4 linked regions of the Alligator mississippiensis genome follow. The protein of the gene in region 1 interacts with the protein of each later gene in a pairwise test. Links are inferred from orthologs where the notes say so. Each region holds a gene or a part of one and is shown in the gene's direction. Other genes may lie near its edges.

Region 1 (6,980 bases):
CACAAGAAGTAGGTTTGCTTGTCCAAGTTACACTTCCACCTCCGGATTTTCCACAGTGCCTGTGTCTTTAGATGTGAAACCCTTCAGAGCAGGGAGCCAATTTTTTGTGCGCTGTGCTGTGCTGAATACATAGTGATTACTAAATTCATTTGATACAGCAACTACAGCTTCAGCTAACAAATTACATCAACCAGTAAAGGGTAAGGACAGTATTTCAGTTCTGAAATGAGATCTTTTCTGAATGCAGCGCTTCCTCTTTCCTCTCTCCCCTTGCTAGAAATCCAAGCAAAGACAGCAATGAGTAAGTCTTCCAACAGCAGCTATATTCAGAAAGAATAAAATTCACCCCTGAACTGAAAACCAGCACAGAGGCTCATCACCCTTCAGTATTATGAAAAGATGACAAAATAGAAAGAAAGCGGTGCTTTGGCATTGACCCTTGCACGGGGATGAATTTTAACCATCATAGGCTTGGCTGAATGCTAATGCCCCAGGAGAAGAAGGAATCAATGTTGCTCTTTCTTAGGAAGAATTCAAGACAAATTCCCCCAAACCCCAGGAATTCAGGATACGTTTGCAGGACCATTACCTCAAGTCCATTGCCCAGCCAGGAATCACTCTGACAAGTTACCCCATTTCTCAGGTTTCCTACTAACCAGAATCGCGGTCTCTCTCATGCAGCTCTTACCATGCTCCCTGATGTTGACGCTGTGAGCGATTATAAACAGCAACAGGCTGACTCCAGTGGCACGTGGGATCCTGCCCTAGAGAGGTGAACTATACTAGTGACTCCGCACAGGGGCAGGTAACCGAGGTCCTCTCTGACGGCAGCCCACAGAAATGAACTATGTTGTTATCTCTGTACACAGCAGGTGACTCACAGGCCATGGCTGAGTAGTGACTGCGGCAGCTCATTTTGGTCAGAATTGTTCTCTGTACCCGAGCCCCTGTGATTCCTTAGAAAATGGACACCAAGACCCCAAAACTGATGGGCACCTATTAGGAAAACAAGGCACTTTGTCTCCAGCCCCCTGGAGCTGCACCTGCTTTCCCCTGTCCCAGTCCAGCCACCGAAGACAATGGCAAGCCGGCCGTAGGGGAGCCAACTTTCTGCCCAGGTGTGGGAGACCTATCTCAGAGCTGCAGCTGTCCCAAGGCCTGATGCTCCCAGGGCCAGAAAGCACAGGTGACAGCAGCATGATTGATCCAGTGGTGGCACATGCAGCAGCAACCCAGGAGCATGGATCAAAGACCAAGCTGCTCCTGGTGCCACCTCCTTCCGCCCTGGCAGGGGTGGGGTGGGGCAGGGCAGGGCAGGGAAAAAGAGGCCGTGCACGGAGTCAACGGAACCAGGTCGGACCTGACCAGAGCGGAGCCAGCACCAGCACCAGCACGAGCACCAGGGACAGCCCGGCCTGGCTGCTGCTCACTGCTGGGTGGTGCTACTGCTGCGGGGCTGTGGGCTGGGGCCCAGGGTGTGCAGAAGCCTCCTGCCTCCAGGGAGGAGCTGGCGAGTGCAGGCCAGGACACAGCCAAGGGAGCAGGGATAGGCAGGTCAGGGCTCACCAGTTGCCCGTTCCCACCCACTGGTCCCACTTGCACCTATGGCAAGTCTCTGCCAGCCATAGACGGCGCCATGGCCCAGGCCCCACAAGTGACCACGTCCCCAGGGCAGGGTGGGGGTAGAAGCAGGCACCACAGCTACCCCTCTGGGAGGGGTGAGGATGAGGGCACCAGAGGCCAAAATGCTGGGCCATGCCCAGGCAGGTTCAGGATGAAGCAGCACAGCTGCCACTGGGCAGTCAGGGACACTTTCTCCCTCTTACCCACAGTGTGGGTTGCAATACCACACACCCTCTGGAAGTGCCTGCACATTGCGAAGCTCTGCCCGGTGCCTGCAACATCTTGCCCATGGGCGGCACCCCTCATTCATGGGCACACTGGAGGGGAGGGGAGGGGAGGGACAGGATCCAGCTAGATCTAGACAGGTTACAGATGTGGGCGGATGAGAATAGGATGGAGTTCAACGCAGACAAGTGCACGGTGCTGCATCTAGGGAGAAGGAGCCTGCAACACACCTACGGGCTGGGAACTCCCCTCTCAACAACACAGTGGCTGAAAGGGATCTTGGAGTCATTGTTGGCTCCAGGATGAACGTGAGCCGCGAATGTGAGGCAGTGGTCAGGAAGGCCGACCACACCTTGTCGTGCATCCACAGATGCATCATCTCGAGCAGGGCCAAGGAGATGATCCTCCCCTCGATGCGACACTGGTCAGGCTGCAGGTGGAGTACTGTGTCCAGGTCTGGGCGCCGCACTTCAGGAGGGATGTGGACAGCACGGAGAGGGTCCAGAGGAGGGCTGCCCGCATGGTCAGGGGCAGCAGGGCAGGCCCTACGCGGAGAGACTAAAGGGCCTGAAGCTACTCCACAAGAGAAGGCTGAGGGATCTGGTGGCCGTTTACAAACTCACCGGGGGGACGAGCAGAAAACAGGTAGGGCTCCGTATCCCCAAGCACTACCTGTGATAACAAGGAATAGTGGCCACAAATGGACGGAGAGCAGGTTCAGGTTAGATATCAGGAGCGTTACTTTACGGTCGGGGCTGCCGGGCTCTGCAATGGGCTCCCGAGGGAGGTGGTGCCCGCCCCTGTCTCGGGGGTCTTCAAGAGGAGGTTGGCTAGAGCTCTGGCTGGGGCGATACGATCCCAGCGCTCGTTCCTGCCCAGGGCAGGGGTCGGACCTGATGATCTGTTCAAGTCCCTTCCGACCCTAGTAACTATGAGACTCACACGTGCGGCTGAGCAGCGATATCGGCTGGACAACCCCTTCTCCCCAGCTGTCTGCCCTCAGACTGCAGGGCAAGGCCGAAGCGGTCAGTGCTGCCAGGTGGCGGCTGCTGGAACGAGCCCTGCGTCCCGTCGCTGAGCGCCTGCCGTCGGAGCTGCGGGAAGGCTGGACCGCTTCCCACGTTTGCTGCGACACCCTGAAACCGGGGGGTGGCAAGACTACAGCGCCGTGGGCGCCGCTTTGCTGTGGGAGTCGCGTGTGCGCACAGGGAGGAGACCGAGCGGGAAGCAAAGGAAAGGGAAGGCGCAGGTCTGCACCGTGACGCTGGGGACACGAGGCGGGGACAGACCGCAGACGCTCACCCAACACCTCCTGCCTCCGACCCCGCGCCGCACACGGGGAGCTACCCCGACGCCCCGGCCCTCAGCCGGGCCCCGCCACCCAGCTAGCGCCACGCGCCTCTGCCTCTGGGGGCGGGCTGTGTGCACCCTCAGCCCCGGGCGGGCGGGCGGGCCTGGAAAGCAGGCTGTGCCGTTACATTGCTCCCGACCGCCCGGGGCCGGCGGCTCCCGCACAGCAGACTGCCGGCCCGCGGGCCAGCCAGGCGCGAAGCCCAGCTCGAAGGACGAGGACTAGGACGAGGGCGTGGGCCGCGGCGGGGCGGGGGCTCGGGGGACGGCGGCCAGGAAGGGCCGGAGGGCGAGCGCTCGGGCAGGAGCCGGCCCAGCTCCACGAGCGCCCGGGCCGCCTCCCTGCGCTGCCAGCGGCGCGGCTCCGCGCGGAGCGAGCGCACGCGGGGCCCGGGCCTCCCGGCTTCGCACCAGGCGCAGCGCGCCCAGCTCTCCTCGCCGCCTCGCGCCCGGGAGTCCCGAGGGAGCTGGCCGAGGAGACTCCTGGGCGAGCCGCGCCCACGGCTGCCCGCGCCTCGCGCGCCCGCCCACGCCCCGCGCGCCACGCCTCCCGGCATGCTCTGCGGCTCCCGGCGGCCTGCGGGACTCCACTTCCCAGCATGCTCCGCGGCTCCCAGCGGCCTCTGCGGTCTGCGGGACTCCAGTTCCCGGCATGCTCCGCGGCGGCGGGCGGCCTGTTTGGCGGCGGGCGGTGTTTCCCGGCATGCCGCGCGGCCCCGGGCAGGATGATCCACGAGCTGCTGCTGGCGCTGAGCGGGTTCCCGGGCGCCGCCTTCACGTGGAGCAAGCGGGGCGGCCTGCAGGTACCACCGCCCCGCCCCCCCCCCGCCCCGTCCGCCCGCGCCGCGCTCCCGCCCCGCCCCGCCCCTGACCGCCCGCCCGCCCGCCCGCAGGTGAGCCAGGAGCTGCCCTTCCTGCACCCGAGCGAGACCGGCGTGCTGAGCCGCCTCTGCCGCCTGGGCACCGACTACCTCCGCTTCACCGACTTCGTGGCGCAGTACACGGGCCACGTGCAGCAGCAGCAGCAGCAGCAGCAGCAGCAGCAGGTGGGGCCGCGCGGCCAGGCGGGTTTACCGCCACAGCGCCCGCCCGCCCGCCCTGGGCGCGGGGCACGAGGCGGATCGGCGGGGCCGGGCCCTGGCACCAGACCCCTGCCCCCTCAGTGCCGCGGGGCCGTGCCGCAGCGCCCCGCCGGCTGTGCGTGCCCTGCCCTGCCCTGCCCTGCCGGCGCCGGGCGGGGAGCAGGGACCCCCGGGCAGCTTGCACTTGGCTCGGGCCGCGCCCCGCGGGGAGGCAGGCGGCGTCGGCAGCTCCGGCGCAGAGCCCTGGGCCGGGCCGGGCCGGGCCAGGCCGGGCGCGCTGGTGCAGGCGCCGGTGCGGCAGACCCGGGCCCCGCGGCAGTGGAGCGTGCCGGGCTGTCTTGGGGTCCGCGTCCCCTCGCTGGGGTCCTGGCTGCGCTCTGCCCGCGTGCCCGGCGCGTCGCCCTCTGACATCCCAGGTCGTCCGCTCAAACTCCTCCGTGGGCCGGCCGAGAGCCGCGGGCTGGCCGGGCCCAGGCGCCGGCAGGGCCGCCGTTCGGCCCCTTGTCTTGGCACATCCCCGGGCAGTCTCGCTGCACGGCGTCTGCAGCCCCAGGCGCTCCCGGGCAGCAGCGGACACCGGTCTGTTCTTCTCCGCCTGGTGCTTTCCTCTGGGGCCTGGTTATTAACCCGCAGATTTACTTCTCTTTCTGTTCTGTCTTTTTCTTCTGTCAAGAAATGGGCTGCGCAGCTCGTGGTGTCTCTGGCCGCCGAGGGGGGACGTGGTTCCCAGCAAGGCAGAGCTCAGTTACAGCGTAGCAAATACAGCAGTCTCCGGTGGGGGCAGGTAGTAAGTGCTTTAGAGGGAGAGCCCATGGCCGGGGCACGATCCTCTCCGTGTCACCTTCCCTCGTTGGTTTAGAGGTCAGAGGAGGCAGCCCTGACTTCTGTCTAATAGCTCCCAACGGACCTGTCCTTCCTCTCCAAGCTGCTCATACCTTCCCCTGCCACAAGTCAGCTACGCACTGGACATAAACAAAAGCTTGTCGTCTGACGAGATGCCTGTGGCGGAGCGCTCTCGCTGAGCGACGGCCTCGGGCCCCTCGTTAGGACATTTCAGCGTTGCTGACCCCGTCGGTCACATCGCGTACTGACGGGTGGGCGGTCACTTCCATTTGGTTCTCCGTAGCGATGTCTGCCTTAGCGCAGTACTGTCTTACCCACGGCAATCAGGCTAATTTGGAGAGGGAAGGAGAGCAGCAGGGAGAGAATTACCACGAGCGCGAAGAGCAAAGGCTTGTGAAGCCCCTGCAGCCCCTACCAGGCAAACCTAATTCACCTGGGGAAGAACAACAACTTGCAGTCGCTCAGACTGGACAGGCTTTGCAAGACTCGAGGGTGCTCCCCATCCCGCTAGGCTGGTGGGGCTGTGGCAAGTGCTTTACATACATGTGCCTCTTTCAGTGGCTGCCCCAAATAACAGCAACATGTTAGTGGCCACCTTTATTAGATGGTCTTCTGCCTCCGGACTGCCTTGCAGTGGGCACCTGCCTCTTCTGTGGTGAGTAGTGTCTCTGAGGGGACTGAATCTAGGTCTGCTCCATCCTTGCCAGCGCAAGCACCATCTCGTAACCTGTCCGTTCTGTTGGCACTTGCTGCGGTTGTTCGAGATGGGTATGTTTGTAACTTGGATCACTGGGCTGGTGTTAAAGCACCATCCAGACCTGCCTGGGGCCAATCCAGACTTTCCTGTTTGATTGCAGGACCATCACCCATCCCAGCAGAACCCAAGCGGGCTCCATGGGATTTACTTGCGGGCCTTCTGCACGGGGCTTGACTCTGTGCTGCAGCCCTATCGTCAGGCACTGCTTGACCTGGAACAAGAGGTAAGAGGGAGGTGGCCGTGCGTGTGGCTGGGCGCTGGAAGTGCTGCAGCCTGAACTCTGGCGCAGTGGGAACCTGCCTCTTGTATGGCGAGTAGCCTGACAAGCAGCTGCCAGGGACAGGACAGGAACTTTCACTTTTCACTTTGGGGATGTCTTCCAAATGGCTACTGCAAGTGCAGTCACTACTGGTCAGCGTATTCTGTGTCACTGACTTCCTCATCCATGGGAGGGCTCCCTCAGTGCCCGGGCAAGGCTCTGTCGCTCCAGCTGTAGTGATCCATGCTTTTAGCTCTGAAGATTTTTGACTAATCCCCTTGTCATGGCCAGGATAGCAGTGGTCATGTAACCTCTCAGGTGGGGTCACTGAGTCAGTGGTCTCACTGTGAGTTGCAGCCTGAAGTGGGACATGGCCCAAAAGTCTGTGGAGTGAGCTGTGATCAGGCCATTCGCTCTCGCTTACCTTCTCATAGGCTGTGGATTATTTCAGTTTGTGCTAACTGCTGTTGTTGTTGCAGTTCCTGGCTGATCCTCATCTCTCCATCTCGCACGTTAACTATTCCCTGGATCAGGTATGTTGCGTAGGACCTAGAGGCTTCAGGTTTATGCACCTTAATACTCATAGGTACAACATGGGTAATGCTGCAGAGCTTGGCATTGCTGCTAGACCCCCATCTTTCCAACCACCTGACTTTTGTACTTATCTCCTGAGTTTTAAAGTTGCATCAATGTCACCATTACCCTTTAGACCTAAGCTTGCAAGAAGAAATAGAGTTTCCTTCCTGCAAGGTTGCAGTAGCTGGTAGCACATATGTCACCAAGGTGGAGGAAGCTACGTGGTGTCTGTTTTTAGGCATCTTGATTTCCGAAATCACTAAAT
Region 2 (7,708 bases), on another chromosome or scaffold:
ACAACATGCACTCTAGCCCTAAACTAGGGAAGCTGGAACCTAAGAGCTACAGTGCTCATCAAATGGAAGGCACATGCCCATGACTGCCGTGCATGGAGCGTGCCTGGGTTTGTGACCATGGGGATCTAGCACTCTTTGGCCTTGTCCTTTCACCTGACTCTTGGAGAGTCTGGTCTCCAAGAAGCAGGACATGAGGGGTTCCCTGGTTTGGAGCTATCCCATGTGCCAAGGCAGGGGCTGGAATATGTGGGGGCTGTCTGGGCTCAGGAGGAGAAATAAGGCCAAGATGGTGGATCTGCTGTCTAATTTCTGTTTCTTAATTCACCCCAGCAAGGGCTGGCTCATAGAGCTGGCCAAACACATTACCAGGGGGAGAGCAGTAGCTCTCACCTGCCATGTGAATGGGATAATTCTTGTGCAGCGTGGGAGCTGCTTAGTGCTGACTGGAGGGTCTCCTGGGGAATTGGGGGGTCTCCTCCCTCTTATAGCCAGTCTCCTTAGCTTCTTTTTCAGTGGTGAGCTCTGTCCCCCTGATGCCTACTTCTGGACACCTTCCTCCCCAGGCAGCATGGCAGGACAGTGTCATGCTAGGCAGGGGTGAGTCAGTGTTGAGTCTGCCTTCTGGAGGGGGAAGGGGAATCAGGGGCTCTTGCATTTATCTGTGCCAGCCCTTGCTCTCCCTTGGTGACTGGGGGAAAAAGAATCAAATCTTGGCAGGAAACCTCCCTGGAGCTTGGGTAGAGAACAGGACTCCCCCTCCTGCAGGGAAACACAAGGATGGGCCAGCACTCAGCAGACAAACTGTATAATCATTTAAAGGATGCAGCGCTGAAGAGCCTGAATCAATATTTGCTCCTGATCCTGTGCTGGTCCAAAGGTTTCGCAACTGACTTCATTGGGAGCAGGTCAGGCCCTTGGGTCTTCTGAAGGCTGGCCCACCACACACTTTTCATTTCTGTGCTCGAAGTTTTTTGATTTGTCTGAGTGCTGGAGAGCTATGGGTGAGTTGCCTCTATAGAAAATACTAGAAGCCTGTGGGAGGCAGCTGGAAACATTCTTCTTATAATTTTCTTTTTCTGGGTCTACCCATGCCACTCAACTCCAGAGAAGAAGTGAAGGGTTAAGGTCCGGGCAGTAGGAGAACTGAGCTCACTTTCTTAAGAGACCTCAGCCAAGCCAGTCAAGATGAAATTATTTTTTCTGAAGCTCTCAGCACTGGTCTGACTGAGATCCCATTGAAGTCAGTGGTAAAGCTCCCATTGATTTCAGTGGCGGCAGGATTTGGCCAGTGCTAAAAGCTATTCAGAATAGCGCTTTTAGTGGCAGATGGCAGTGCTGAGTAGCTTTCAATAAGCTAGCTCAGATCCCCTCAGAAGTTCACTAGCGGAGGCCAGACAGAGTCTACAAGTGGGGCGGTGTGTCTGGAAGTGGGATTGCCCTGCAAAAAGTCTAGGAACCACCATGATACACTCTAAGAAGTCTCCACCGAGCACGTGCAAACAGATTTCTCTAAAAGCCTGTTGGTTGGCTAACTTTGTGGTAAAGGCACATCCATGACACAAAAGTTACCTTTGCATTATCCTTACTGTATCCTGTATTTCACTGATCTCATGCTGGGTAGGGTTATTGGGGCAAGGGAAGGATTTGTGGGACATCACCTTATTAGGTCTCATATTAGTGGAGATGGAGAAAGAAAGCATTCTCCTGTTGGGGAAAAGGGCCATATGTGGATCACTTAGAAATTCTCAAGGCAACAACTGTATTAGCCGCTAACACTGTTTTAGGTGACATATATAGATGTAGCACAGACTATAGTACCAAGCGTGTTCTTCAGCTCTAGGGAGTATGAGGATCTGTAGGCTGCAGCAGAGCAATACAGGTCTGCTTGCAAAGCCTATGGTCATTGGCTTCAATTTCAGGATAATAAATGAACTCTTTGGTGCTTAAACTTTCTGTCTTAGAAGCTGTTTTGACCCAAGACCAAAGAGGTAAAGTACTAGGGACATATAAGCAGTCAACATGGGGCTGCCCTGATAGTAGCTGGAAGAGTGGTCTTTACATCCCCCTGTGAAGTCAGTACCCAGACAATACAGCTTGGGGTGTCTGCCACAGTCCTGGTCAGCTAACTCTGTGCCCAGGTCTTGGTGGTAGGCATATATCAGTGGCCATTGAGCTGCTCCCTTCAATTTGACTCTCATTATTAGGGGCAGGAAAGAGGCTGCTGGGGTTCAACTAGTGGATTTTGGACCCTGTGTTTTTAAATGGCTAGAGTGAAATTTCTAAAACTCAGTGCTTAAATTGCACTTGCTTATTATGTACCTACTAAAAGGTTATCTGTTCATGGAGACATGCATATCATTATGCAGCTCTGTGTTAGCAAACATGTATACACGTGGCAACTGCACATATGTTTTTACATGTCCATGTCTATACACCATCACCACCCCAGTTTGTGTCGGGGTGCCCATGCCCATTTTGTATATGCAGTTCTTCAGCCAGGCATATACCAGTTGGTTTTGTCCATATGCATGCCACACGCAACACTGGTTTTAGGGTTAAGTACATCTGCATGTAAAATCTTTCTGTCATGGACTGCTGCCAAACATTCCAGGGATGTCTGAGTGGGAGACTCCCACTGAGCTTCTGCACATAGTGGGAAGTGCATCCTTCTTTCCAAATGCTTCCATGGTATGGCAATAGAACAACAACTGAACAGAAGCAGTGAGAGAGACCCAGCAGAGAAGAAATTAAAGTTATTAGACCTTGAGGCAGATTGGGTGTTTTATGCATGTCTGGAAAGCAGCAGGAGATGCAGGGGTGGGTGAGGTGGGAGCTCTGGCTTCCTGGCAGTGAAGGGCCAGGTACCGCCCTGAGCAATGCTCTGTCTGTTGCAATCCTCTGTCTGTAGTTCAAAGCCAGGCTGTCTGTATTCTCACAGAGCATTTTATCTCCTGATGCTGAGAGGTGGAGTCATAATATAGCCTTGCAAGAGTCAAGCTAAGCCCAAGGACTTGCTCACTTTCTCACAAAGCTCAGTTTGCAGGAATCACAATACATCTGTTAAAACCAAGGGTATCCCTTGGAGGGATCGTGGACACTTACATGAATTACACATGGCACTCAGGTAATCATATAAGGGGAAACTTCAAGCTGAAGCCCAGCCAGTTTTACAAAATAAGCTCCAAGCTTTACCTTAGACCACGCTGCAGGGCAATTGTCTTTGTTTAAAATACTATTTTCTGATGGTTTTCCCCATTAGTACATGGAAGACCAAAGCTAAGGCACATCTGCATTGCAGGGGTTGCAGTCTGCCCAGACCTACTTCATCAAGTTTAAACTAGCCAGCTTGAGTCCTGCTAGCCATGTAGCAGCAACAGCATGTGCTCAGCTTGGGCATAATGCCTATTCACCCAGCTTCTTGGATGGTTTTGCACCTGAGCCCAGTGCTGTCACAGCTACACTGCTAGCAGAATCCAAGCCTGCCAGTGTAGAGCTCTCTAGGCTGCCTCTACATGAGTTGCTATAGCCATAGTGAAGGTATCATAGACATTTATGAAAGCACCCAAGTGACTTAGAAGCCAAAGTCTTGTTTCAAAAGTGACCAGATCCTCTAAAGCAGGGTAGTCAACCTGTGGCTCAGGTGCCACAAGTGGCATTGACAGCCTCTGTGTGTGGCACATGGCAGACTGGGGTTGGGGGCAGGTACCACAGTGGCAGATAGGGCAGGGAACAGAAAGCAGCCCATCAAATCAGGCAGGGAGCACAGAGCAGAAAGCAGAGCAGCAGCCTACCTGATTTGACAGGGTAAGGGAAACAGAGTAGAGTGGTACTCAGGGAGGTGTTGGGGCTAATTTGTGGTACTCCTGCCAAAAAGGTTGGCCCCCAATGCTCTAGAGTCTTTAGGTGCCTAATGCCCATTCATTTCAAAGAGGGCTAGATCCTGAGGAAATGAGGTGCCTACAAATCCCGGAGGATCTGGGGCCAGATGTTATTCTACCTATTCAGCATCTAAATGGATTTTGGTGACTAAATGAAATCCTATTCCACCTTGCTCAAGTCCCTGAAAATCCATGAATGCATCTGCTTTTGTAGCTTCCCATCATTTGACTCTTCAGACTGAGACGTGCAAAGCAGGAAGGAGGAGGGGGACTCCACCACCTTTTACATTAAGAGTTTTTCAGGCATTGAGCAGAGTGGAATAGGATCTCACTTAGATGTCTAAATCCACTTAGATTAGATGCCTACTCTAGATGCATCTAATCTTAGATGCCTAAAAGGTGGAATAAGAGAGTGCAGGGAGAAGAGGGAAATATTTTGTAATCATAGAATCTTAGAAAACAAGGGTTAGAAAGGACCTCAGATCATCTAGTCCAGTCCCCTGCTCCAAGCAGGACCATCCCCAACTAGATCATCCCAATATTACAGATTTTACAGATATTACAACATTACGAGATTACAGATTTTCTTGTAGTCTCATCCAGTCCTGGTTATTTGGGGTGCTGTTTGCACCCAGAGTGGGTGGATCACTCTGTGGGCAGGAGTGGCCTCATTAATCTGACAATGTCTCTTTAACATCACTCTCATTTTCTCATTAACTCTGCTTCCTGCCCTCCCATTCTTCAACTTTGCTCTGTTGTGCACTGGTCCGGGTCACTGACTCCTTTCCATCTCTGTGTGCAGGGAAGTTGTTTCCTTGGGGTCTGGAAAAAGCTCAGCGTGAATCAAGGTAAATATTCCTACTAGGAAGCTTGCAGGCAGAACAAAAACCCAGGGACAGTCACTGCCACTATGCAAGCCTGCTGACAGTCAAAGCAGCTGGGGACATCGCTAAAGAGGGCTTGGAGTGCTTGAAGTCCAGGAGCCAATCCCGTGCTTGCTTCCGGGGGTGTCTCCAGGCCACTTGTTTTGCTGCAGCCTGGTTCTTTCAGGGACTAATATTTTCAACCCTCCCTGAACCAAGACGGTCTCTCCTGCACATAAAGGAGACTGTCCTGTTTCCCTAGCAGCTGGAGTTGGAGAGAGATATAAGAGAAAGCTTTACTTTGGAGTATGGAGGAGCACAGTATAAAGTGGGGGTGGGAGCCTTGGAGGCAGTAAATGAGAAATGAGTGATCTTTACTCTATTTCTGCAGCCCTCAGGTGGTCAAGCCTTTGACACCTAGTTAAAGCTTCTGATCTGGGGAACTCTGAATATTTGGAGACTGCATGGGTTGCAGCCGCCTTTTATTGCTGCGTGATGCTGTGCTCTCAGATCTGCCTTCTGGAGAATATAGAGAGCAGCTCAGGAAGAAGAATCCTTGATTTGGGTAGAAAGGAAATCCCAGAGGTGGAGGTGGGAGCTGGTGCCCTGTTTTCCAGTAAAAATGACATTCTGATTTATTTAAAAATCACCTTGATGCTCTGGCGAGAGGTTTGATCAGACAGGCAGGCAGATGGGCTTCCAGTTCTTCAGGAGCACTGTTGGGGTTTGCCAAAGGGTCAAATCCCAGTTTGCCAATTCTCTTTCTGCTCCTCTGGTAGCATACGAATGTCTTAAGAGGCAGGCATGGCAATAGTTGGCATGGAACTGGCATGAGGGCTTTACAGTAACCTTATTTCCAGGCCATGGGATAGGAAGCAAGTTAGGGGCAGGGAGAGGATGTGGCTGAAGTGCACTGTATTACTTCTTGCTTCCACTGAGGCTCTGGAAAGTGCTGTATGTTAGAGCAGCTCAAAGTTTGCTCTAAATTACACCAGGAGCCCTTGAGTATATGGACTACAAAGGTAGCTTAGGCTGTTCTCCTTGCATCATTTCTATTCCCAGCACAGGAACAGAGTAAATGAAAATCAGGCTGCCAGTGTCTAACATGGAGCAAGGTGGGCAGAGCTGTGGCAAAAGGTGTTGCAGGATGGGCCAGGAGGCATTGCAGAGGCTGTGTAAGTGCCTAGCATAAATATAATAAGTCCATCACCTGTCTCCAAGGTTTGCTCATTTACTGCATCCATGGCTGCTTTAGGATTCCCAGGTGACAGCACCTGCCAAGTGTGTTCCTTATCACCTGCACTGAGCACAGACGCTGAGTCCTTTCCTGCAGTTATAGGGGGCTGGGTCTCCTTTATTGTGCCTTTCACATCCCCTATTTATATCACTGCCACAGGGTGTCTGAGAGACAGCACATTCAGACCTCTGGAACAGCTAGTGCACTGTATAGCAGCCCTGCAGCAGGTCCATGCTTTGTGAACTTCACTGTCAGCTGAGTGATGCCTGGGGGAAGCCTAAGGATTTGGGTTTAATCATGAAAGTCCAAAGTAGTTGAGACCCCAGTGCTAGAGAGGCTTCCCTTTAGGATGCTGAGGCACTTTAGCCTAGTGGAAATGCTCCAGCTATCACCCCCACCTGCAATACATGGACGTGGCGTGGCAGCTAGGCATGCTTTCTGGAAGAGAAGCCTGGATGTGGGACTCATTTCCTTCCTGAGTTTGCTAGTGTCTAAATCTGAAGAGCCTTCAGGTCCACCTGTCTGCCTGACTTTCCCCTGGGGAGGAAGAGATCCCTGGGTGGGCGGACTGATTTGGAAGCCAGTGTTAGAAATAGTCTTCTGTCTGTGGTGGTGGTATTTCCTCCTGAGTTTACAGGCAGAGCAACCAGTATGTTGCCATGACTTGTGAAGCTTCTTGTTCATTGTAATGATCACCAGTATTTTCTCCTTCCATCCAGTTTCCTGTTAGTATGTTTTTGATCTCTGTGTAAAAGGGCCCAGATGCACTCTCCATCAATGACATAAGTTTGCTTGATCTCTATAAGCAGCATTACACAGCATGAGAAGCTCCTCTCCCAAAGATCAACCCAACCACCAGCCATATCCCAACAATCCCTTGGCCCTTGGTGAGGCCCTCCATGCTGGAAATTGCACTTAAGGAAAGGCAGATTAAAGTTGCCTTTTAGTGAAACTGAAAAGCAGAAGGAACTGCATTGAACTACTCTGAGAACAAGGCAATGTCAAAAGCCCCAGCACATGTGAACACAGAAGAAACCCCTTTGTCTCTTATTCAGGGATGAAATTTTCTCAAGGGGATTTTGAACCATCTTGGCATGGAGTAACCTAGAGCAGAACAGCACAGCAATCTGGTCATTATCTCTAAGGTGCTAGCAATAAGCTTTGGACATGTAGGGAGATTTTAAGCCAGACTTTGCTCTTGCTGTCAGTTTGACTTCATGGCCAAGCCGAAAGAGCAAATTTCACCCTGCTAGATTTTCCTGTGCCCTTCTCTGAGTGTGGTTCAATGAAAGCTGTAGGCTGGATCATTTCACCTATGCCAATGCAAATTCAAGATAGCTCCATTAACTTCCAGTCAGGGGAGATCTACGCTGGTGTAACCCAGAGTAACATAGGACCTCTAGTCTCTCCAGCCTTCTCTCATTGCCTTGGCATATACCTTGTCCATCTGTAGGTGTCTGCTGTGGCACTGATGGCAATACCAGTGGAGACAGATGGGAGAAAGTTCCATGTGGTTACTCCTGTGTTGGAGAGCCTGGCTCTGTCAAAGGCTGCAGGCACCAAGGTGTTCATGAAGATGGAGAACGTCCAACCATCAGGCTCCTTCAAGATACGAGGCATCGGCTACTTCTGTCAGGAGGTAAGCATCACATAGGGATGAGTAAGTTCCAATATCCCTGTAGTGACATTTGTTATCTGGCAGCCTTTGGTGGCATAAGTAATGTGCCATG
Region 3 (7,532 bases), on another chromosome or scaffold:
CCTCATACGTAAACACAAAATTGATGTTTAAATTCTCTGGTTTCTTGCTCTTTGCAAGGAGACCTGGTCTGGAACCAGGCTTCATTGGTTAAGAGAGTTCTTGGGCTTTTATTGTAGCTCTGTGACACCTAACACTTCAATCCCCACATCATGACTCAAGTCTGCCTGAGCACTACATTCTCTGTCTGGCAGGAGTTCCCACCCTTCCTTCTCTGCATCAATTCTAGCCTCTTGCAGCATCTCTGAATTACCCCCTTATGGAGCACTGCCTCAATCAAACCTATCCAGGAAGCTTTCTCTAGGAAATTCCATTATTTCCTTCCTCCCCCTGCCTTTCCAACACCCCCGTCGCATATCCACTTGGCACCTCCAGTCTTTGAGGTTTCCAGTTGATGGCTAATCAAAAAGGAGAATACAGTGATACTTTTTTTTTTAACAGAAAAGTAAGGGCAGATTTCAGCTGGGAGCAATTTATTGGGTGTTCCGCCATCGTTTTAATCTCTAGCATTTTCATAGCACTTAGCTGCAAAGCATTTTACAAACACTAATGTAATAATTTGTGGTGAAAAGTCACCATTTGCTGGCGGAATTTGCAAAAATGACCTATGACAAAGCCAATATTTGTGAACAAGAATTGGTTGGGTTGGGTCTTGTTGCCCCATTCAGCTTTATCTGTAGTATCCACAGTGGTGTTGCATGCAAACAAAAACCTCTCTCAAGTGGAGTGCCTGCAGTTCTGCTTCCTTTCCCCACCCCGCCCCATGTACTTCTGATCTGTTTAAAAATTGTCCATTTTATACTGAATGAAACTTGCACAGTTGATTTCTGTATTAACAGATTAAAGATTTAGCTTTTAACAGAATTTTGTGTTCCTCTCTGAATCTGTGCAACAAAAGACAAAAAGAGCTTGCTTAGGTTTTGTTTTCTATTGACTTTGTTTGGCTACAGAAACTCCCTCTCTCCCCACCCCCAATCGATGAAGAGCAGCTTTGAGGTTCAGGACCTCCCCTTAAGGTAAGCCGGAGTCCTGTGGTTCAGAGGTAGAACTGAGAATCTGGTTCTGGTGATCGTTTTAGAACATGTTAAAGATGCACTCAGGCAGCATTTCTGTTGGGAGGGTTTGTAGCACCTCCAACAAGAGGACAGCACTGGGCATTAAATCTAAATGAAATGCTTAGTTTAAAAAAAAAATAAAAAAATCCAATGAATAGAGGTGCACCGATACATCGGTCTCATATCAGATCGGCACAGATATAAGGAACATTGACGGCATTGGCAGTCTGTTTTTTTTGGCTGATGTGGCTGATAATGTGGCCAATAAATGCCCTGTGAATGTGCACAGCTGCAGCGCACCACGCAGGCAGCCTGAAGCACAGCCCAGCAGTGGAAAGCAGCCGGGTCTGACTGACAAGTCTGTTGTGGGGGAAGGGGAGAGGGGCGAGGGAAGGGCCATGTGGGGGGTAGACCAAGGCTACGCCAGTGAGGGAGGGAGTGGGGCTGGAGCAGGGGCAGGCGCTGCACAGAGGGGACCTCAGTCCGCCCTTCCCCATAAGACTTACCAGCCAGATGCTGCTCTCCATGCTGTCTGGCTGCATATCGGCAATAAGATTGGTATTGGCCAATACGGCTTGTTAAAAATTGACCACGAGCATCAGCCCAAAAATTCTCTATTGGTGCACTCTACTAATGACAGTTCCATAGTTTTATAGTTGCTAGGGTCAGAAGGGTCCTGAGCAGGTCATCAAGTCCGACCCCCTGCCATGGGCAGGAAAGGATGCTGGGTCAAACGACCCCGGCAAGGTGATTGTCTAGCCTCCTTTTGAAAACCCCCAGGGTAGGAGCAAGCACCACTTCCCTTGGAAGTTGGTTCCAAATCCTAGATGCCCTAACTGTAAAGTAGCGCCTCCTGATGTCTAGCCTGAACCTGTTCTCCGTCAACTTATGGCTGTTATTCCTTGTTACGCCCAGTAGTGCTGGGGGGAACAGGGACTCTCCCATTGCCTGCTGGTCTCCCTTGGCCAGTTTATAGACAGCCACCAGATCCCCTCAGCCTTCTCTTGTAGAGGCTGAACAGGTTCAGGTCTCGTAGCCTCTCCTCATGGGGCCTGCCCTGCTGCCCTCTGATCATGCAAGTGGCCCTCCTCTGGACCCTCTCAATGCTGTCCACATCTCTCCTGAAGTGCTGTGCCCAGAACTGGATGCAGTATTCCAACTGTGGCCTGACCAGTGTCTCATAGAGGGGGAGGACCACCTCCTTGGACCTGCTCGTGATGCATCTGTGGATGCATGACAAGGTGCAGTTAGCCTTCCTGACTGCATCCCCACATTGGCAGCCCATGTTCATCTTGGAGTCTATAATGACTCCAAGATCCTATTCTGCCTCTGCGCCGACAAGAGGGGAGTTCCCCAGCCTGTAGGTATGCTGCTGGTTCTTTCTCCCTAGGTGCAGTACCTTGCACTTGTCAGTGTTGAAACCCATCTTATTCTCATCTGCGCACTGCTGTAACCTGTCCAGATCCAATTGCAGCCTGTCCCTCCCTTCGAGCATGCCCACTTCTCCCCGCATCTTAGTGTCATCTGTGAATTTGAACAAGGTGCTTTTCACCACCTCGTCCAAATTGCTGATAAAAATGTTGAACAGTGCAAGCCTGAGTACCGAGCCCTGGAGGTCCCCACTGCCCACATCCCTACAGGTTGAAAAAGACCTGTCCACCACCACTCTGGGTGCGGCCATCCAGCCAATTGGCGACTCATCTGACTGTGTAAGCACCGATACCACAATCTCCTAATTTTTTAACAAGAATGGGGTGAGAGACCGTGTCGAAGGCCTTCCTAAAGTCCAGAAAGACTATGTCCACCATGACACCTGCGTCCAAGGATTTTTGTGACCTGGTCATAGAAGGCCACCAGGTTGGTCTGACAGGACCTGCCTCTGATGAATCCATGTTGGTTGCCCCTACGCATACACTCCGCTGCTTGCCCCTTGCAGATATGCACCTGGATAATTTTCTCAACAAGCTTCCCCAGGACCGAGGTAAGACTAACAGGCCTATCATTTCCTGGGTCCTCCTTCCTCCTTTTTTGAAAATGGGGACCACATTGGCCCTTTTCCAATCCTCTGGCACCTCGCCAGAGCACCATGAGTGCTCGTAAAGCTGCGCCAGGGGTCCTGCAATGACCTCTGGTAATTTCCTCAGCTCTCTGGGGTGGAAATCGTCAGGACCTGCTGATCTGAACATGTCCAGTCCCTCCAGAAGTTCCCTGACTAGGTCATCTCTGACCCTGGGATTCCGGTGGGGGAGATGACCTGGTCCCTGCTCAGAAAAATGGAGGCAACAAATTGTTAAATAGGTTAGCTTTGTCGTCTGGTGTGATGACCAGATTTCTAAGCGTGTCCTGCAGAGGCCCCATGTTACCCGGAATGTTCATTTTCTTCCCTATGTATTTAAAAAAGGACTTCTTGTTATCTTTGATCCGGGTTGCTAGTCCCAGTTCCATCTCCGCCTTGGCCTTCCTAACAGCCCCCTTACAATCCTGAGCAATGGAGATATAGTCCTCCCTGGTGATGGCCTGTCCCTTCCATTGGGTGTATGCCTCTGGGCCTTTTCCAAGGAAGAGCCCAGACCCCTACAGATTGATCCAAAACAGAAGCAAGAACCAGCTTCAGATGCCTGAGCAAGTGTGCTGAATGCAGGTGGGGGATTGCGTAACTAACCTCCTTCACACGTCTGTGAGGAAAGACATGGGCAAGGAACAAAGAGCTCCGCCCTGCATAAGGCTACTGGGCCTTGACAGCTCTTGCTCTTCCAGCTCGGCTCCTCCACGTGCCAGTGCAACAAGTTTGGCTCCTTGTCTTTTGAAGTAAACACCTGCCTCTCAAGCACTGCCCTGGCAGCTCTGGTGCTGTTTCAAGACTAACACAGCTACAACCTACACCCGTTTCAAGACCACGCTTTCTCTCTGCAAGTCCTTAACATGTCCCAGGATTACTAGGGGTAACACACAGGCAGCCCCTGATGCCCCAGTCTGAAGAAATGCTTCACCCACTGCAGCCAGGAAGGGGGAGGACTGTGGCCCCTTGTCCACCAGCTTCCCTGCAAGCCTCTCCCCCCCGCAGGACTCCAGCCCAGGCTGCTGAATGATTTGCTCAGCTGTTTGGAGTAGCCTTCAATTCTGTATGGGGGGAGGGGCTCCCCGGTGGATGCGGTGACTACAGCAGAGGGAAGCTGTCCGTCCCAGTTATCACCAGCTGCACGGGTGCTAAGAGCCAGCCTAGCCCCCACGGGCGCCTGATCTAATGCGCCCAGGGGCCCGGGCATGCGCAGTACGCCTGAACCACTGATTGGATGCCAGCCCGCCAATCACCTGCCTCAGCCCGCGACCTGCCTCTACATCCGGTTGGGCCCGCAAGGGGTGCTGGGAGTTGTAGTTCAGGGAGGAACTACGTCTCCCGGGAGGCTCGAGGCTGAGCGCCGAGGTGGGAGCAGTTGCTGTGGCAACCGCGCGGGTCCGCCCCGGCTCAGCCTGCTCCCGCCGGGGTGCGCGGCGCGGGCTGCAGCCTCCGCCCGCAGGAGACCGGGGTTTTCTCCCTGCCCCCGCCGCTCCCGGCACCGTTCCCTTCGTCTCGTCCTGGGTCCGCAGTTGGGCCTGACAAGTCATTAAGACACAAAAACCGACCGCGGACCATTCACGTCCCGGCCTCGAGCCTCAGTTGGCAGCACTGACCCAGGGTGAGCTTCCCTTCAGCCTGCTGGATGCAGAAAATCATGGACACTGGATTTATGCCACGTTATAACCTGACTCCGCAGGTACCTCTCCGCAGTTCATCATCCCCCCACTCCTCAGTTTACATCCTCACCGACGGCCTTTCCTGGCGTGCAGACCGGCCGCCGGCCTCTTTACTATTCGTTCCCTCCAGGAAGAGCTTCCTCAGCCTGACGAGGGGTATTTATACCCGCAAGCTTGCAAAGAAGAATTTTTCCAGCGATTTGAGTCGGTCTAATAAGAGATATCAGACTCACCCAAACAGCCGTGTCCGCCTGAAACCGGGATGGTGTTTCTTACCCCTTTCGTGGGGGTATTTGACCGTCTCAATGTCTCTGAAACATTCAGGGGTCGTCCCATCCAACTCGCTGCAAGTGCCAAGCGCTTTTCTTTCTTTTTTTTAAAACCAATCTGCCCTTGCCTCCGTCTAGGTCAGCGCTTCCCAAACTTCACCTCGGCATGACCCCGTTTTCCTCAGCGTGGCCCCTCGTTCCCAGCTCCCCACCCCCGCAACCCCATCCACTGCTGTTGGCACCCCACTGGGGGTCGTGACCCACGGTTTGGGAACCGCTGGTATAGAGAGCGGTGAGATGGAAAACTTGAAAGGTCTTGGGTAGAAAGGGAAGTCGGCTGCGCAGCAATCCTGCTGAATGTGGAGGTTGAAGCAGGAAATCTTGCTCTCTCTTTCCTTAGACCAACCGGGCTTGAATCGATTGGGTCGCGGGATTACGTTGTTAAACCGTATCTGGAGGTGGAGACTGAATGACTGTGAGCAGAAGCCCACGGAAGAAAGGACCCCTGCAAGCCGTGAGATGGTGAGTGTGACATGAAGGGGCAATGGGTAGAAAAGAGTTATGAAAACTAGAAACAGAAACGGGCAGACTTCATTGCTGTGATGCCCTAAGGCAGAGGTTCCCAACCACCGGGCCATGGCACAATACCGAGCCACAAAGGGTTGGCTGTCGGTACGCAGTTTGCTGGTCCACAGTCACTTCCAGTCCACAGTTTGCCAATCCACAGTATAAAAAAGGTTGGGAACCACCGTCCTAAGGCAGCGATGATTGAATGCACCACTAGACTTTTGCAAATCCTGGCTGTCTAGTTAGCACCGAGCAGGGACTGTGCTTGCTACAGTTACTTATGGTAATCTTCAGGAGTATGCGGGACAGATTCCATTATTTCATGCATCATGTCCCAATTGGCCTGGGAAGCTTTCCCATATTGTGTCGGGATTGTACAAGAAAATCTGACTTTCACTTCAGTAAACAACAGGGATCGTGGTGGACGTGTCATACCTGGTATCGTAAGCCACCCTGAGGCTTTCTGGATAGTGCGGGACATGCATCTAAATAATGACAATAACAATAATGTTGCATCTGGGCTGGCTTGCCTAGACTGAGTTATCTAACGTGGTTCTACGATACAGAGAATTAACAGGGCAGTGATTCTGCTGCTCTGATCAGCACTGGTTAGGCCTCCCCTGGAGTACTGTGTCCAGGTTTGGGCCCCACACTTGGAGAACGATGTGGACAAATTGGAAAGAGTTCAGTGGAGGGCAACAAAACTAAGTGATTACAGACCTGGGTAACATGACTTATAAGGAAAGGCTGGAAGAGCCAGGATTATTTAGCTTGAAGAAGAGAAGACTGGGAGGGGGGGTGGCGGAGTTGATAGCAGTCTTCAAAAACTGAAGGATGATTATAAAAAGGATGGGAATAAACTGTTCTCCATGGCTGTAGGGGACAGGACTAGGAGCATGGTGTCAAACTGCAGCAGGAGAAATTTAGTTTGGAGATTAGGAAGAACTTTCTGACTGTGAAAGTGGTCAAGCATTAGAACCGGCTGCCTAGAGAAGCTGTGGAAACTCCATCCCTGGAAATTTTCAAGAGCAAGTTGTGCAGACCCTTGGCTGGGTTGGTTTAGTTGGGGATGATCCTGCCTTGAGCATGGGGTTGAACTAAATGGCTTCTTGAGGCCCCTTCCAGCCCTATGATCATCATGCAGGAAAAGTCCTGTTGGATGTGTCTTGCTTCCGGTGCTTATTATTTTTGTAACAAGCCAAAATTTATTTTTTTCCTTAGGCTACAAAACCGAAGAAAGGCTTAAAAGGTATGAGCCCTCGTCTGCACCTCACTACCCTTAGTCTGCTTGAGAATAGGTGGGTCAAAACTGGGGGTGCTCCTGACAATCATAGAAGTCCAAGGTGGTGAATCCTGGCTAATGATTCACTTCCTTGGTTCAAAGCCATGTCAGACATGCAGAGTGTTAGTATTGCTTGAGTCAAATCATTGCTGAATCAGCATTGAATGTCAGCTACCCCAGTGGTTCCCAGCCTTTTTTATGCTGCAGACCAGCAAACTCACTCAAAGAATACTGGCGAACCGGGTATAGAAACAATCTAATTTACATATTTAAATTTATTTTTTACATGGAGGGAGACAATGGCCAAAAATCATACGTACACATCACTAGCTGGCTAATGTTAGCTACCTAGCTGCAGAGGATACACATAGGAGACAAGCCAGACATTAGTGGTTACAACAGTCTCGCTGATAGGGAAGTGACTAGCCACAGTTACCACGGTCCAATTTCAAAATCTAAAGTCACAGTCATTGGCCAAGCGGAGGATATTTTCGCCCAGCCAGTCATCAGGGCATGGGTGCGGCCTGGGCATAGAACTGTTGCTAGCAGTGGTTAAAGCTCATGCCGTGACCCGGCAGCCAACCCTTCATGGCCTGCTGGTTGGAAACCTCTGAGCTACCCCTCAA
Region 4 (8,016 bases), on another chromosome or scaffold:
TACCTCCTTGAGAAAGCAAAATGGCAGAGTTTGGAATGGTGATTGCTGCTAGTGGAGGAATTACACAAATGTGTCTATTGCTCACTAAGCAAACCAGTTACGGGAATTTTTCACTCGGCTTGCAAAACTGACCTGTAGCAATCACAGCTGCCCTTGTACAGCTCTAATGTACCCCCACCTTACACCTTTGAGATGTTCCTGTCAGAGTCCCTATTTCACAGTACTGGAAATGCATTAGAAATCACATTCAGTTCTAGCCTGTTAAATATGTGATGACCCATCCTTTTACATAAGGCTGCATAAATCAGGCACTTGCAGTTTTTCCTCCCAAAAAATTTTACATTCCACTGAAAAGGATTTTGCATCTGGTATTCAGTGACTGTCAAGAGTATGATTAATGAGTTTAAATCAGATATCATACAATAGATATTTCTGCTGATAAACATTTGGAATGTTATGGACCCTTATTAAAACAATCTTAATCTTTTTTTGTGGCATATTTTGATATGGTGTTGGCTAAGACAGCTTTCAGAGTCAGACATAAATTACAAGCAACATTATATCTGAATTACATATATCCCCCCCAATTGCATTATATGGATATATTTTTTACAATGTTTCTCTGATTGCTTCCTTTCTATTTGTTTAGTTAGTTGACTTCATTGCAAGGGTCTATCCATTACTCAGGGAGATTTTACAAAAATGAAAATGCATATTAGATCAGCTGCTTTAAAATTCATGTAAGGATACCTAGGGTAAAAGAACATTTAAAACACCATCAAGATATTTAAAACAATGGGAGATCATATATGAAGAGCTTTAACAATGTCCAGAAGTAGAAGCTTTGGAAGAATGTGTCAATCGATAATTAAAACCAACAATAAGCAGCTCTATGATAACTAGTTAGCGATATGTTCTCATGATCCACTTGGAAGCTTTATTCTTTTCTGAATTCAATAGAGTTCCCAGCCTCCATGATATCTTGTGGCAATGAGTTCTGCAAGTTAACTGCACATTTTGTTAAAAATTAGTTTCCGTCATAGGATTCTTTGAATTTAAGGTCAGTTGCCAGGCACAGATAGTGTGAGTACAGGAACAGAAGGCAGGAGTAGGGACCAGGATGAGAATAAAGGCAAAGTGCAAGGTCTGCTGTCTGAAATGAAGGCAATGGAACTAGGCCAGGCAGGACAAAGAACAGGAGCTAGCAGATGACAAGGCTGTGGTGCCACCATCCATCATAGACCAGGCAAGGGCTGCAAGCACAGAAGCAGTGAGCAACCCTCTCAGAATTTAAAGTTGAGTGAGAACAAACTACACATTTTAGCATTTCCTTTACAATGTCTGTCTACATGTTCATTTAAAGGGTTTTTTATGTCTGATAAAACAGACACTAACAGCAAAGAAAAGAATGTGGGAACCATATGGCAAGAAAAACAGGGGTTTTTGTATACTTTATTTAAAAATACAGGCTCGAAGTTGTTGTTATATCCAAAATCCCAATTCTTCAATGGCCTCTTGCATTTTAAACTGGCATTTTTGCTAGGTATTTGAGGCAAGCAAGTCTCTACCATCTCTCTACCTAGTTGTAGCAGTGACTCTGTAATGGTGTGACAGTCCTGGTTTTCCCAGCCCCCGTCTTCAGAAAAGTACAGGCTTTTGTCAAATACATTTTGTGAACAGTGCACACAGTTTACAAGGAAAAGGCGAGTGTTTTCTGAACTTTTCCCCAAAATCCTCAGGGACATGTTTGAGTACCTATTTCCTACAATAGGAAGCTTAGGAGTGGACTGTTCTTGTCCTAATAGTACATTCTGTAAATTCTCAAAATGGCAAATAACTAGAGTTAAAGAGGAGGACACAAGTACAGGATTATTTGTTTGGTGGGGGTTTAGACAGAGTTGAGCAGGGAGCTGGGGTAGATGATGTTTTGAGGTCCCTTTAATCTTTATTGTGCTATGAAACTATGATTTACTTAATTTTTCTATGCCTCAGGTTGTCTGTAAAATTGGTCAAGTATCGCAAAGATCTGGTATACTAGTGGCCAAGCTGCAGCGTACATGCCGCAAGTGGCATAAGCAGCTGTTGTGTTTGGCACAGGGATGCTGGCACTGGGGAGCAGTTGAGGGTCAATGTTGCTGGGCTTGGCCCGGCGGGAGCTGCACAGCTAGGTGCCACCAAATTCAGTGTTGCCATATCCTGGTGGTGAAGGGATTCACCAGCACTAGGCAATGACAGTACTGAGAATGAGAATGGCTCTGTCTGACACTTTAGACTTGTGGCATGCTTGCCAAAAAGTTTGTCCACCACTGATCTGGAAAGTATCTGTGGGTACCCTCTATTAGAAGGAAAGTGCTGTGTGACTGTGTCGCAGGCACTCTACCGCTAGGAGTTGAAGATGTTCTCTAGGCCTTAGTGTGGGGGCTAGTGCCCTTGGAGCAAGGGCATCCACCTTCTCCTTCTGGCATAACCATGGAATACCATTGGGCCATGGTGTGAGGCTCAGAGCTTGATACTGTAACTACCAAATTGCACCTGGCTATGGTGCAGTTTGGCTCATTGTGGCACCTACCATGCAGGAGTGTGACTTTTCATTAATTAATGCAGGGGGTATTGAGTCCATATAGAGTATGCATGGTCAGATTTGTATTACTTGACAAGGAGAAGCTTCCTTAAGTTTAGTCATATGCTTCTTCCCCCGCTCTGGTATGTCTCCAGTATGCTCAAGTGCAGTAGCAGAAGGAACCCTGGTAGCAGCGTCTTTCCCTCATTTCTAAGCTTGGTCTATGCATGTCACAGTGGGTGGAGTAAGGCGTGCTCAAGAATGAAGCTCCTCAGGGGAGTTGGGAAAGCATTATAGACCTATCCTAGACCTGAGGGAGAAGATTGCAGCCAAAAATTCACGGAGCCCAGCAGAATACAGGCTGCGAATCAGTATAACTGTGGCGTCTTGTATCAGATTCATGTATGTGCCATTCTCATGGCAGAGTGAACCGGAGCAAAATTTGTTCTCTTCTTCCTTGGGCTCCCTTATCTGTCTGTATCCACCTGCTGTCATCTCTAGTCTTAAACTAAACCCTCTGGGGAGGGAGACCAGCTCTCTCCTTCTGTGTTTGCACAGCATCTAGCACAATGGTTCTTGACTCTTTTAGCCCCAAGGCACCCCTCGTTAGACCTGAGGCTCCCCTCAGAAAATGCCAGTTTTCACTGTGTTTTTGACTACAGAAAAATTAACAGAGCAATTCCCCTGCTGCTAAGAACTCAAACACCTGCAACAGTTGCAACGGGGCAGGGAATTTTTGACGCTGCAGATTCCTATTTGAAATCTCTTGCTTCATCCTGTGAAGGATGTTTGCACATCTGACAGTGCCAGCATTGCGTGGCACCCCGTGGCACTCTTGAAAGGCTCTCAAGGCACCCCAGGGGGCAGAGGCACCTTGTTTAAAAACCACCCACAATGAAGACCTGGCCCTGGGTGTAGGGGGCTACCTCTATCCCAACACACACTAGTAATACTGACTGGACCCTGATGGACAATAATGGTTTCTGGGGTAATAGAGAAGTCCAGCTGCAAGGAACCCCCAGAGGTCATGTAGTTCAGCCCGCTGTCTGAGGCAGGATTATCCTATGTAAACCATCCCATAATCTAAACCAGTGTTTCTCAAATGTTTCCAGTGTGACCCCATTTATGGCTCCATCTCTTCACCATGGTCCCTCACTCCTGACCCACAGCTCCTCCATCCCCATGACCCCATCCACTAATGCTGTGACCCCATTTGGGATTGTGACTCACCATTTGGAAACTGCTGATCTAAACTGCATAATAGCATCCTCAACCCTGACACTATACAGACCTAACCCCTACCTGGTAGCAGGTAAAGCAGGGGAACCGCGGCACCGACAATCCTGTTTTGCAGCCAGCATCATCCTGATCCTGTGACTCGGGGGCACATCAGGCTGGGGATGGGGGAAGTTGCCAGGTGGAGGTGGGGAGCCCCCAACTGGGCCAGGAGGCACCTGTACCGGCCACTGTCTTTTGGGGAGAGCAAGGGGGACGGAGGGGAGCTTATACTGACAATATATTATAAAAGCAGGAAGTTGGCTGTCTGCTGCTTTACCTGCAGCAGTGTAGGGAGTTAGGTCTGTGCTGTGTCAGGGCTGAGGGGAGTTTAGAGCCCAGCATTTCTCAACCCATGGGTCATGACCCAAAAGTGGGTTGCACAGATACATGAAAGGGTGGTGAACAAACTTGAAAAATGGATCCACAAACTTAAAAAATGGGCTCTCCTTGGAAGGAGAAAAAAATGGCTTTTCCCTCGCGGACTCCCAACTGCAAGGGGCTGCTTGGGGGGCTCCCCGTGCCCCACACACTGGGGGGCAGCGGCTCGGATGGATCTTTACAAATAGGTCCTGGTACAAAAGATTGAGACCCGCTGGTTTAGAGGATGGGGCAGCAGGTAGGAACTGGCCATCCACGTTTATAGGTGGGTCCTGGTACAAAAAAGGTTGAGACCTGCTGGTTTAGAAGATGAAGCAGCAACTAGGAACTGGCCATCCACGTTTACAAATGGGTCATGGGACCAAAAAAAAAGTTGAGACCCTCTGGTCTAGAGGATGGGGCAGCAGGTAGGAACTGGTCATCCACGTTTATAGGTGGGTCCTGGTACAAAAACAGGTTGAGATCCCCTGGTTTAGAGGATGGGGCAGCGGGTAGCAACTGCCCATCCACGTTTCCAGAGGTGTCCTGGTGCCAAACAAGGCTGAGAGCCGCTGCTGGCTGCGGCGGGGGCCGGGGAGCCGGGTGCCCCCCGCGGCGGCGCGGCTGCCCGGAGCAGGGGCTGGCAGTGCCGGGGCGGGGCGGGGCGGGAGCGCGGAGGGCGGGAGCAGCCGGCTTTGTTCTGCACGTGGGGAGGGGGCGGGCGGCTCCGGGCTTGCCCACCGCGGCAGGCGGCGCGGCCCCTCTAGGCGCCGGGCGTCTCCGGCCGCGGCACAGCCCGGATGTAGCGGCAGCAGCCGGCCGAGCCCCCGGCCCGGGAGAACATGGCGCTGCGAGCGGCGTGAGCGCGGGGATGCGGCCGGGGAGCGCCTGAGCGTCGTCAGGTAGGCGCGGGGGCTGGCGCGGAGCACCCCTTGCCGCGCCCGGCGCCGCCTTTCTCTGCGCCCCGTGCCCGCAGCCGCGGGGTGTGGGCCGCCGGGAAGCCGCCCTGCCCTTGCCTGTGGGCGCTGCGGAGCGGCACCTGCGCGCCCTCTCCCCGCTCCGGGCCGGCGGGGCAGGCTCCAGGGGCCGCGCTGCGGTGGAGCGGCCGGGACGCGGTCGCCCCTGGAGGATGGCATGGTTGCCATGCGGTCGCCCGTGTAAGGCGAGGGCACGGCCGGGACGCAGTCGCCCATGCAGGATGGCATAGCTGCGATGTGGTCGCACCCGTAGTGCGAGGGCATGGCAGGGGCAGGGTCGCCCTTGTAAGGTGGCACAGTCACCCCTGTAAGGTGAGGGCATGGCTGGCACATGATTGCCTATCTAAGAGGACAGCACAGGTTGGACACAGTTGTCCGTGTAAGGCAAGGACATGGCAGGGGCATGGTTGCCCGTGTAAGGTGAGGGCACGGCCAGGACACCGTCACCTGTGTAAGATAATGGCACAGGTGGGACACAGTTACCCATGTAAGGTGACACGATCACCCATGTAAGGCGAGGGCATGGCTGGGATGCGGTCACCCTTGCAGGATGGCATAGCTGCGATGTGGTTGCACCGGTAAGGCGAGAGCACAGCCGGGATGTGAATGCCTGTGTAAGATGATGGCACAGGTGGGACACGGTAGCTTGTGTAAGGCGAGGGTATGCTCGGGATGCGGTTGCCCATCGATGTTCCAGATTTTTGCACCCTTTGGAAACAGGGTTGTGGAGCTGGGCTGGCCACAGCCCCACTGTTTTGCATCCCCTCGGAGAGGATCGTATGAGGGACAGCTCCAAGATGGCAAGTTCTATTCTAGAGAGCAGTGTCCGGACATGGGAAGGGAGAGGCATATGTTTGTCGGTACCCGGGGTCTGTTCACTTGACAGGAAAGTGGGAGCAGTGACCTGGCAGAATTAAACAGCAAGTTTGGTGAAAGGTGTTTTTAAAGTGAGTGCTTAGACTGTAAGCAGCAGCATGAAATGCCATACAAAGAGCCCAATCTCAGAATAGCGCTTGGAGAGAGACGCGGTGCAGAGGCAGGAAACCTGGGAGCGGTGCCAATCAAATCAATAGCAGATAATGCAGAGCGCCTTTGATAACGCTGACTTTAAAAAATGAATTCAAGGCTTTTCATGTCATTTCTCATTGTTTAATTGCTTTGGTGAGAAGACATGACTTCTGAATGTTTTCCACTCATGTTGCTTCATTTCATAAATGCATGTCACTTAGCATGATGGGGAGACTTTTTATTATAGAGTTTTAAAATACCTGAGGTTCCTTTGAATAATTTATCCCTGTTGGGGGGGGGGGGCGGGGGAGCGAGGTGGATGAAATGGCAGCTGACCTTGCTATGGCACTGGAAAGTCTGAGCTAGTCAACAGTACAACTTGACAAGGAGAGCACTAGGCAAAGAAATGGTATCAAGTGCTTCAAGACAATGATCCTTAAAGGGGAAAGGGAGGGTTTTTGCCTTTCTTTTTCAGGAAGTGTGAAAATGTATTGTTTCTGGAGCTGTAGCTTGTAAACCTCCTCTGGCAGATGTCTCTGCACCTGAGGTGCACAGAGAAGGAGTACATATCTGAAGAATCCTAACCTTGTCCCCCATGTTTAACTTATTTCCTGCCCCAGAAAAGCCTCGAATAAGTAAAAATGTGTATGAGTGGAACAACTGAAAAGGTACTGGCTGTATACAAGAAAGCACATCAAGGGCTGTTATAACAAAGCTCTAAGGTTAGGCTCTTGAGTTCTTTGCAAAATTCATTACTTGGTTTGAATAATGACTGAGGATTTTTAGAAGTGACTAGTGTTTTTGAGTGTCCCAGCTTTTCCATGCTTGGCTCAGTTTTTCAGAGGAAGGTTGCTCTGAACTACTTTAAGATATCGCCCCAAAATTGCTTCCCCACTGAAGCTTTAATCATTTGAAAATCTGGGTGACTATGCCTGCAAATGCTCTGTTTTACACTATAGACAGATAGAAGGCTGGGAACTGTCTCTGTGTGGGTTTAGCCATCTTTTTACTTCATTACCTTTGAATCATGGAAAGAAAGTGTATGAGCGAGGACTGCTTTGCTCAAATAGGTGTTTGAGATATGCATGCTAATTCAGAGGTTCTCAGTGTTTTCATTGAAAGATAGTGAGCTATGTTAGCCTGAAGTCAGGCAAAGGCAGAATCTCTACCTTTCCTTCTTTCATAGTAGTGGTCATGCAAAGTGGTCCCATGAACCAGCTCCCTTCCCATTCATAATCTTATAGACCAGTGGTGCTCAAACTTTTGGCCCCACAGGCCAGATATGTGGCTCACAGTTGGTTCAAGGGCTGGAGCGGGCCCCACGTGCCAGGATCAGGCCCTGCACAGCTTTGACCAGCCCATGTAACACCCAAATTGGGCCCTGCACTGGCCACTGGCTGACAGGATTAGCCATATGTGCTGGGATTGGGTCCTGGTGCCCCACACTGCTTCTGCCTGACCCTGTGCACTGGGGATTAGCCCCTATACTTCCTAGGCCAACATGCTCAAATCAGGCCCTGGTGCTCCACACTCCCCCTGCCTCCCTGCATACCTGATCTAGTGCCTGGGGCCACACTATGTGGCCTGTGGCGCTCCCCCTGTGTCCAGAAATTTGGCATCAAGGGAGTGGCAGCTGCTCCCCTGCCAAATTTTCAGACCAGTGGAGAGTTCTGTGCGTTGGATGACATGGCTCCGGTGGCTTGATCTGGTACATGGGCCATCCCTGCTTCAGACTCTCTTGTCATTTGTGACCATGTAACATCACCAGGTTTACATGTGAAATTATTACAGTGAAGTATTTAGGTGGGATATGTTCTGCTGCTGCATGCTGGGTAA

What was found.
Region 2: the proteins of TUBGCP4 (region 1) and SDSL interact in a two-hybrid assay, tested with the Homo sapiens proteins (2 studies listed by BioGRID and IntAct). The two-hybrid records come from large-scale screens. The link is inferred for Alligator mississippiensis from reciprocal best matches to the Homo sapiens genes TUBGCP4 and SDSL.
Region 3: the proteins of TUBGCP4 (region 1) and FBF1 interact in a two-hybrid assay, tested with the Homo sapiens proteins (2 studies listed by BioGRID and IntAct). The two-hybrid records come from large-scale screens. The link is inferred for Alligator mississippiensis from reciprocal best matches to the Homo sapiens genes TUBGCP4 and FBF1.
Region 4: the proteins of TUBGCP4 (region 1) and PAK5 interact in a two-hybrid assay, tested with the Homo sapiens proteins (2 studies listed by BioGRID and IntAct). The two-hybrid records come from large-scale screens. The link is inferred for Alligator mississippiensis from reciprocal best matches to the Homo sapiens genes TUBGCP4 and PAK5.

The regions. Positions count from the first base shown.
Region 1 is NC_081834.1:441,273-448,252, forward strand, and holds the start of TUBGCP4 (gamma-tubulin complex component 4), read left to right. Parts: upstream 1-3,869; 5' UTR 3,870-3,923; coding exon 3,924-4,001; intron 4,002-4,091; coding exon 4,092-4,244; intron 4,245-5,976; coding exon of another isoform or gene 5,977-5,980; coding exon 5,981-6,103; intron 6,104-6,618; coding exon 6,619-6,672; intron 6,673-6,980. UniProt on the Homo sapiens protein: Component of the gamma-tubulin ring complex (gTuRC) which mediates microtubule nucleation.
Region 2 is NC_081833.1:25,867,753-25,875,460, reverse strand, and holds the start of SDSL (serine dehydratase-like), read left to right. Parts: upstream 1-4,618; 5' UTR 4,619-4,726; intron 4,727-7,431; 5' UTR 7,432-7,449; coding exon 7,450-7,617; intron 7,618-7,708. UniProt on the Homo sapiens protein: Catalyzes the pyridoxal-phosphate-dependent dehydrative deamination of L-threonine and L-serine to ammonia and alpha-ketobutyrate and pyruvate, respectively. Also exhibits racemase activity towards L-glutamate and D-glutamate.
Region 3 is NC_081831.1:13,306,885-13,314,416, reverse strand, and holds the start of FBF1 (fas-binding factor 1), read left to right. Parts: upstream 1-4,489; 5' UTR 4,490-4,730; exon of another isoform or gene 4,731-4,808; intron 4,809-5,457; 5' UTR 5,458-5,576; coding exon 5,577-5,579; intron 5,580-6,845; coding exon 6,846-6,873; intron 6,874-7,532. UniProt on the Homo sapiens protein: Keratin-binding protein required for epithelial cell polarization. Involved in apical junction complex (AJC) assembly via its interaction with PARD3. Required for ciliogenesis.
Region 4 is NC_081824.1:223,326,540-223,334,555, forward strand, and holds the start of PAK5 (serine/threonine-protein kinase PAK 5), read left to right. Parts: upstream 1-4,923; 5' UTR 4,924-5,097; intron 5,098-8,016.